2 linked regions of the Macaca mulatta genome follow. The protein of the gene in region 1 interacts with the protein of each later gene in a pairwise test. Links are inferred from orthologs where the notes say so. Each region holds a gene or a part of one and is shown in the gene's direction. Other genes may lie near its edges.

The links.
Region 2: the proteins of TOX4 (region 1) and TBX6 interact in binary tests that used the Homo sapiens proteins (3 or more experiments, as listed by UniProt). The link is inferred for Macaca mulatta from reciprocal best matches to the Homo sapiens genes TOX4 and TBX6.

Annotation. Positions count from the first base shown.
Region 1 is NC_133412.1:94,338,069-94,341,813, forward strand, and holds the start of TOX4 (TOX high mobility group box family member 4), read left to right. Parts: upstream 1-1,271; 5' UTR 1,272-1,310; coding exon 1,311-1,316; intron 1,317-1,527; coding exon 1,528-1,596; intron 1,597-3,745. Other genes in the region: RAB2B (ras-related protein Rab-2B), read right to left, coding at 566-637, 867-912. UniProt on the Homo sapiens protein: Transcription factor that modulates cell fate reprogramming from the somatic state to the pluripotent and neuronal fate. In liver, controls the expression of hormone-regulated gluconeogenic genes such as G6PC1 and PCK1.
Region 2 is NC_133425.1:28,475,212-28,478,956, forward strand, and holds the end of TBX6 (T-box transcription factor TBX6), read left to right. Parts: coding exon 1-129; intron 130-232; coding exon 233-379; intron 380-456; coding exon 457-527; intron 528-2,537; coding exon 2,538-2,611; intron 2,612-2,666; coding exon of another isoform or gene 2,667-2,702; coding exon 2,703-2,877; intron 2,878-2,951; coding exon 2,952-3,165; 3' UTR 3,166-3,595; downstream 3,596-3,745. UniProt on the Homo sapiens protein: T-box transcription factor that plays an essential role in the determination of the fate of axial stem cells: neural vs mesodermal. Acts in part by down-regulating, a specific enhancer (N1) of SOX2, to inhibit neural development.

The DNA of each region.
Region 1 (3,745 bases):
GTAGCTAAAAGCCCCTTCAGGCTATGCCTTATCACAAATGTGTGGGAAATGTTAATATTTTCCAGGATCCCCAGTGGGTATGAGGAACTGTTTAACACACTGTTTTATTTAAAAGGAAAGTTTTTAGTTTTATTTGCCTATTAATTCTAAGGCAGGGATGACTCTTCAATTTGCTTCTTCACCAATATAAAAAATGTCCATGTATTGGTGTTTACTTTTTAAAAGTAAGGCTGGTATTAATTTACTGCAAAGCACAGATGAGTTTACAAATAAGCAGTTATGCTTTCGTGGGATTTTCCATAAACATAAAAAATTGTACTTGAAAAAAATTATATGACAAGTCTCTACCTCACACTCCAAAAAGTTACCTTTCAATTATATACTCTCCCTTACACTACTCGCCACATATCAACGTTTGATTAACCACTTCATTAACATAACTTTGGACTAGTTTAAAGTAGTGAGGGATAACTTTTTACTTTGAACACTGAAGGCTGCTAACTTTCCACTTTAGCAATTTAGCTAGTCAGGTTTTATCTGTTCTGGAACAAGTAGATGCACTTACCTATTGTGAGGTCGTGGACAGGCTGGAACCGCTTATCTGTAAACTGCAGGAGGAGACATGACTTCCCCACACCTGAAAGAGAAAACACGCTCCCAGAGTCACGTAGCGTTGGAACACTACCCGGACTCTGGACTTCCCGGACCAGAGAAGCGGGGGGTCCCCGAGCCCCGCCCCTGGCCGCCCCGAACCGCCCCGCCCGTCTCGAATCGCCCAGCCCACAAAGTGAGCCCCGCCCCCGCCACCCAATTTGGGAGCTTCGGACGTCCGCCCCAGCCTTGAAGGCGAACAACCTGAGGGTTACCTGTGTCTCCGATGATGATATACTTGAAGAGATAAGCATAAGTCATGATGTCGCGTCCTCTGGGTTCCGGGTCCGCCCGACTTCTACAGCCACTTACCTCCAACCTCTCTAGCCACTCAATCTACCGATCTTCTTCTTCCCGGCCGCCCACCCTCTCCGGCTCCTCTAGCCCAGATCACGTCTCTATTGCTCTCCCCAGAAATCCTCCTTAGGTCGGGAGTACCCAACGCCACCTCCAGGGATACCTCTAGTACTTCTACATGCCATTATCCCTCCAAGCTCCAGGGGGCGATAGGCCACCGCCTGACTCGCTGCAGCCCCCACGGCGCTCCTTCCAATGAGCAGAGAGTAACGCACGTCCTTGCGGAAGTGACGGCAGTTCCGAGACCAGTGGGGGCGGTGGGAGCGATGAGGGTCTGAGACGGTGGGAGCGGTTGTGTGAAGATGGAGGTAGGAACCTGATAGCTAAGAAGGCTGGCGAGAGAACGCGGCCGACCGGGTTGAAGCAGAGACGGGAAGCCGGGTGGAGAGGCGACTGACGGGAGAGGAGAGAGCGCGGGGTTTGGGGAGTGTTGTCAGAATGTCGGGGTCAGAAGCCATCGCTCCAAGCTAATTCCCTGCTCCCCCTAACTTATCCCCGCGGCTTTCTTTTGGTTTCCAGTTTCCCGGAGGAAATGACAATTACCTGACTATCACAGGGCCTTCGCACCCCTTCCTGTCAGGGGCCGAGGTGAGCACGAGCTGCCGACGCCGCGGGGGGAGGGCCTGAGGCCGCGGTGGGGTAGGGTGGTGGGGAGGAGAGCACGCACTCCAGGGACGGGGGCTGGGAACCAAGGGCTGCAATTGGTGTTTAGAGAAAAGTGGCAGCTGCTTCTAGAGCCTATGGGGACTATCTGGGGAAGTCTTGGGAAGTTGCTGTCATCAGAAAAGCAAGCTATTGGAAAGAGATAACCTATTTAAAGAGAAAAGTGATTCTGGATTAGAAGACAGTGAAATTGTCTCCTTTTTCTGGGGAGAAATAACTACAGTAATCTTAAAGGATCGCAGTGGGAAGAAAATTTTTCAGCAGCTGAAGAAACTGGGGTGAGGGGAGGAGCTTACCTAGCAGAGGGTTGACCGTGGAACAGCATGTGTTCATTCCTGTAACGAACTCTGTTGAAGGGGTCTTTTTAAATTTGTTTCATTTATATTTCCTACTGGTTTTGTTTTGTTTTGAGACAGAGTCTCGCTTTGTCGCCCAGGCTGGAGTGCAGTGGTGCGATGTCGGCTCACTGCAACCTCCGCCTCCCGGGTTCAAGCGATTCTTCTGCCTCAGCCTCCCGAGTAGCTGGGATTACAGGCGTGTGCCACCATGCCCGGCTAATTTTGTATCTTTAGTAGAGATATAGTTTCACCATATTGGCCAGGCTGGTCTCAAACTCCTGACCTCAGGTGATCCACCCACGTCGGCCTCCCAAAGTGCTGGAATTACAGGCCTGAGCCACTGCGCCTGGCCTAAATTTACTACTTTAATAAAAAGTTTGTGGTTACCTTTACCTACACAGTGTCGGCTTGTTTTGCTAATGCCAGGAAGAAAGGAAATAGCTGCTAGAGAACATAAAAAGAGTTGAGTAGGATATGTGTTTCAGTTTTTCTGTGACTCAGACGTTGGGCACATTACTTCATCGTTGTATGTCATAGTTTCCCCAACTGTCAAACAGCTGTAATAATAGCTTCTTATGCTGTTTTATAGTAGAAGTAAAGGTTGTGATGAAACCCTAAAGTATTTGTTAAAAAAATCTGGTTGAGCCGGGCGCGGTGGCTCATGCCTGTAATCCCAGCACTTTGGGAGGCCGAGGCAGGTGGATCACCTGAGGTCGGGAGTTCAAGACCAGCCTGACCAACATGGAGAAACCGCGTCTCTACTAAAAATACAAAATTAGCCGGGGTGGTGGCGCATGCCTGTAATCCCAGCTACTCGGGAGGCTGAGGCAGGAGAATCGCTTGATCCCGGGAGGCGGAGGTTGTGGTGAGCCGAGATCGCGCCATTGCACTCCAGCCTGGGCAAAAAGAGGGAAACTTTGTCTCAAAAAAAAAAAAAAAAAAAAAAATTCTGGTTGAAATATTGTCATAATATAGATACGTATCACTTGTTTAGGAGAAGCAAAAGAGAACGGTGGAACAGACAAAAATTTCTGTCTTTGAGAAACTGAAGTCTTGAACCACGTGCCATTTTTTGAGGACTTTTAAATTTATTTTCAAAAGTGGTGTGGACCATTTGCATCAGTTTTTTGTACCAAGAATTGTCAGTGGCTGTCGCATGCGCTTATCCTATAATCCTAACGTTTTCATGGATGAAAATGGGGTTGACAAGGGGTAGTTGCTAGTTTAACTTTTTTTTCTTTTTTTGTCGGGGGGAGGTGACAGTCTCCCTGTAGCCCAGGCTGCAGTGCCGTGGCACGATCTTGGCTCACTGCAGCCTCCACCTCCTGGGCTGAAGTGATTCTTCTGCCTCAGCCTCCCAAGTAGCTGGGAGTACAGGTGTGCGCCACCACACCCAGCTAATTTTTTTTCTTTTTTCTTTTTCTTTTTGTATTTTAGTAGAGACAGGGTTTCATCATGTTGCCCAGGCTGGTCTTGAACTCCTGGCCTCAAGTGATCTGTCCACCTCAGCCTCCCAAAGTGCTAGGATTATAGGCATAAGCCACCATGCCCGGCGCCAGTTTAACTTTTTTGTTGCTTTATTAGTCTTATAAGCAGGGTAAGTGTGAATCTAGTATGTGGCAAACTTAGAAATGATATAAAACCTAAATCTGGACCCAGCACAGTGGCTCATGCCACTAATCCGAACTGTTTGGGAGGCTGAGGTGGGAGAATTGCTTGAGCCCAAGAGTTCTAGA
Region 2 (3,745 bases), on another chromosome or scaffold:
GAGCCCCGCCTACCCGACCGTGTCTACATTCACCCCGACTCTCCAGCCACTGGTGCACATTGGATGAGGCAGCCTGTGTCTTTCCATCGTGTCAAGCTCACCAACAGCACGCTGGACCCCCACGGCCACGTGAGGCCCAGGCTGGGACTCTAGGATAGGGTTGGGGGGTGCTAGAAGGGAGGCCAAGGCTGGGGCACAGGGCAGGGAATCACTCCCATTTCCTCCCTCCCAGCTGATCCTGCACTCCATGCACAAGTACCAACCCCGCATACACCTAGTTCGGGCAGCTCAGCTCTGCAGCCAGCACTGGGGGGGCATGGCTTCCTTTCGCTTTCCGGAGACCACATTCATCTCCGTGACGGCCTACCAGAACCCACGGGTGAGTGCCCCTGCTTGAGGGGGTGGTGGCGCCCTGCCCAGTCCACAGTTGCTTTGACCCTGGATGTGTGTCCCCAGATCACACAACTGAAGATTGCAGCCAATCCCTTTGCCAAAGGCTTCCGGGAGAACGGCAGAAACTGTAAGAGGTGGGAGTTGTTCATTCATTCGTTCATGCATTCAACAAATGTTTATTAATCACTCACTGTGTGCCAGGCACCGTGCTGGACATCAGGAATACAGTGGTAAGTAAAAACATTCATTCACTGACTCAGCAAATACTTATATAGTACCTGCTATGTGCCAGGGACAGTTCCAGGCACTGGAGATAAATCAAACAAAGTAAACCAAAGCCCCAGCCCTGATGGAACTGATTTCTAGTGGGGACAGCAGACAAGCAGACAAGAGAAATAAATAAAATGCCATCTGTTAGGAAGCCATTCTAAAGAGAAGAGAGACCAGGTGCGGTGGCTTGCTTCTGTAATCCCAGCACTCTGGGAGGCTGAGGCGGGCAGATCACCTGAGGTCAGAAGTTTGAGACCAGCCTGCCAACACAGTGAAACCCTGTTTCTACTAAAAATACAAAAATTAGCCAAGCATGGTGGCACGCGCCTGTAATCCCAACTACTCGGGAGGCTGAGGCAGGAGAATCTCCTGAACCCAGGAGGTGGAGGTTGCAGTGAGTCGAGATCGTGCCATTGCATTCCAGCCTAGGCAACAAGAGTAAAACTTCGTATCAAAAAAGAAAGAAAGAAAGAAAACTCTGTCACAAAAAAAAAAAAAAGGAAAAAAGGAGAAGAGAAATAAACAGGAAAGGATAGGAAGGACTGGGGTGAGCTATTAGATAAGAGGCCTGAAAAGGCCTCGGCAGGAAGAAGACACTTGAGAAAGAGCTGAAGGAAGTATGGGAGGGAGCCGGGTGGGCATCTGGCAAAGCACACTAGGGAGTGGGAACAGCACGTGCAAAGGCCCTGAGGTGGGGCTGTGCCTGTGGCGTGGCTGCAGTGGAGTGAGTAGGAGTCAGGCAGGGGAGGGGAAGCCAGGTTATCTTGGACAGTAAAGGTTCCATAAGGCCGTGGGAACTGTTCCAAGTGTAGCCCCTCGGAGCTGGCCCCTGCCCTCAAGGAGCTTCCAGTTTGTCAGAAGAGACAGACATGAACCAAGGAGTCACTCCATCAAATGCAAAAGCATTTGCATTTAACTGTCTCATAACTGTGACAGATGTTATGAGGGAGGGGTGTGTGCTCTCGGAGATCAGGGAGGACTTCCTTGAGGAACTTGCGCTAGCACTAAGGCAAGGATAGGTTTGGTGGCTCATGCCTGTAGTCACAGCACTTTAGGAGGCTGAGATGGAAAGATCACTTGAGCCCAGGAGTCGGAGGATGCAGTGAGCTGTGACCATGTCACTGCACTCCAGACTGCACTCCAGCCTGGGCAACATAGCAAGACTGCATCTCAAATTTTAAAAATGAAAAGAAAAAGGGGCCGGGCGAGGTGGCTCAAGCCTGTAATCCCAGCACTTTGGGAGGCCGAGACGGGCGGATCACGAGGTCAGGAGATCGAGACCATCCTGGCTAACACAGTGAAACCCCGTCTCTACTAAAAATACAAAAACTTAGCCGGGCGAGGTGGCAGGCGCCTGTAGTCCCAGCTACTCGGGAGGCTGAGGCAGGAGAATGGCGTGAACCCGGGAGGCGGAGCTTGCAGTGAGCTGAGATCCAGCCACTGCACTCCAGCCTGGGTGACAGAGCGAGACTCCGTCTCAAAAAAAAAAAAAAAAAAGAAAAGAAAAAGGATGGGTTCAGCAGGTGAAGAGGGGACAGAAGAGGATTCCAGAGAGAGGCTCAGAGTGGAGATGGGGCAGAAGGATGAGCTAGGTGAGACCGTGCCCTGGCCTTGCCTCTGGGAAGGAGTTTCCATTGATACTAAACACAATAGTAAAGCATGGACAAGCTTGAGCAGGGACAAAATTCCAGCTCTGCCACTTTCTAGTTATTTAATTTTCTGGCCTTCAGTTTCATCTGTAAAATGGGTATAATGATGGCCCCTACCCGACAGGGTCCCTGGGAGGGTGAAATGCCTGGCACTGGGTAAGTACTGTTATTACCATCACCATGGCCATCACCGTCATCATCATCACCACCACCACTGTTTCCCAGGGAGCGAGATGCCCGTGTGAAGAGGAAACTGCGGGGCCCAGAGCCAGCAGCCACAGAGGCCTATGGGAGCGGAGGTGAGTATAGTCCCAATGGCGATGGGGCCAGGCCTGAGACACGGATCCTCCCTAGCCCAACCTCTCCCTTCCCTCTCCCCGGACGCACCAGGTGGTCCCTGCGACTCCACTCTGGGTGGAGACATTCATGAATCAGACCCAGAACAGGCCTCAGCCCCCGGGGAAGTCACCACTGCCCTGGCACCTCCGTGTGGTGGCCCCAGTGCCGAGGCTTACCTCATGCATCCTGCGGCTTTCCACGGGGCCCCCAGTCACCTTCCCACCAGGTGAGTGGGACAGGGGACCAGGCGGGGCTGCGGGACCCTCGGCACTGCTCTGACATCCTTCTCTCCCATGTCAGGAGCCCCAGCTTCCCGGAGGCTCCAGACTCTGGGCGCTCAGGCCCCTACTCGGCTGCATTTCTGGAGCTGCCACCCGGGCCAGGGGGCTCCGGGTACCCAGCGGCTCCACCCGCGGCACCCTTTGCCCCGCACTTTCTCCAAGGGGGCCCCTTCCCTTTACCATACCCCGGGCCTGGGGGCTATCTGGATGTGGGCTCCAAACCCATGTACTGAGCCATTGCTGGGCCCCTCTGCCTCCATCACAAACCTCCTGCTCCCTTCCCCCAGCCCTGGAGCCCCCTCACCTCCACCAGCCCCATCCCCCACACCAAATGGCTGCCTTGGGCCTGCCCACCCCCCCCCACAACTTCACACCTTGATTTCACTCCCACCCCGCTCTGGCTTCAAAGCCCAACCAAGGCTGCTGGGAGTCCAGCTGGGGCCGGCTTCCCCTTCCCGGCTCTCACCTCCGTGTGAATGGAAGGGGCTCTGCCTGGCCAAATGGGGCTACAGACCAGTATCCCCACCTACCGGGTCCCCCTGTGAGCCCTTGGGGGGGCTCAATCCCCACCCCCACACCACTAGTGCAGGCCACACCAGTCTGTTGTTCTGGGACCAGAGTATTTTTGTTAATAAAACTCAAAAGCCATCCATGCTCAGGAAACACTGAAGCTCCTGTGTTTGGCCCTGGGCGGGGCTGGGTGAGCAAAGGCTTTGCTGGGAGACCCAGACCCAGATCTAAACCTGTGTTTCCAGCTGCCTGACCTAGCACGAAATCTACCAGCTCTCTAGGCCCATCTCTTCAGGAAAGTGG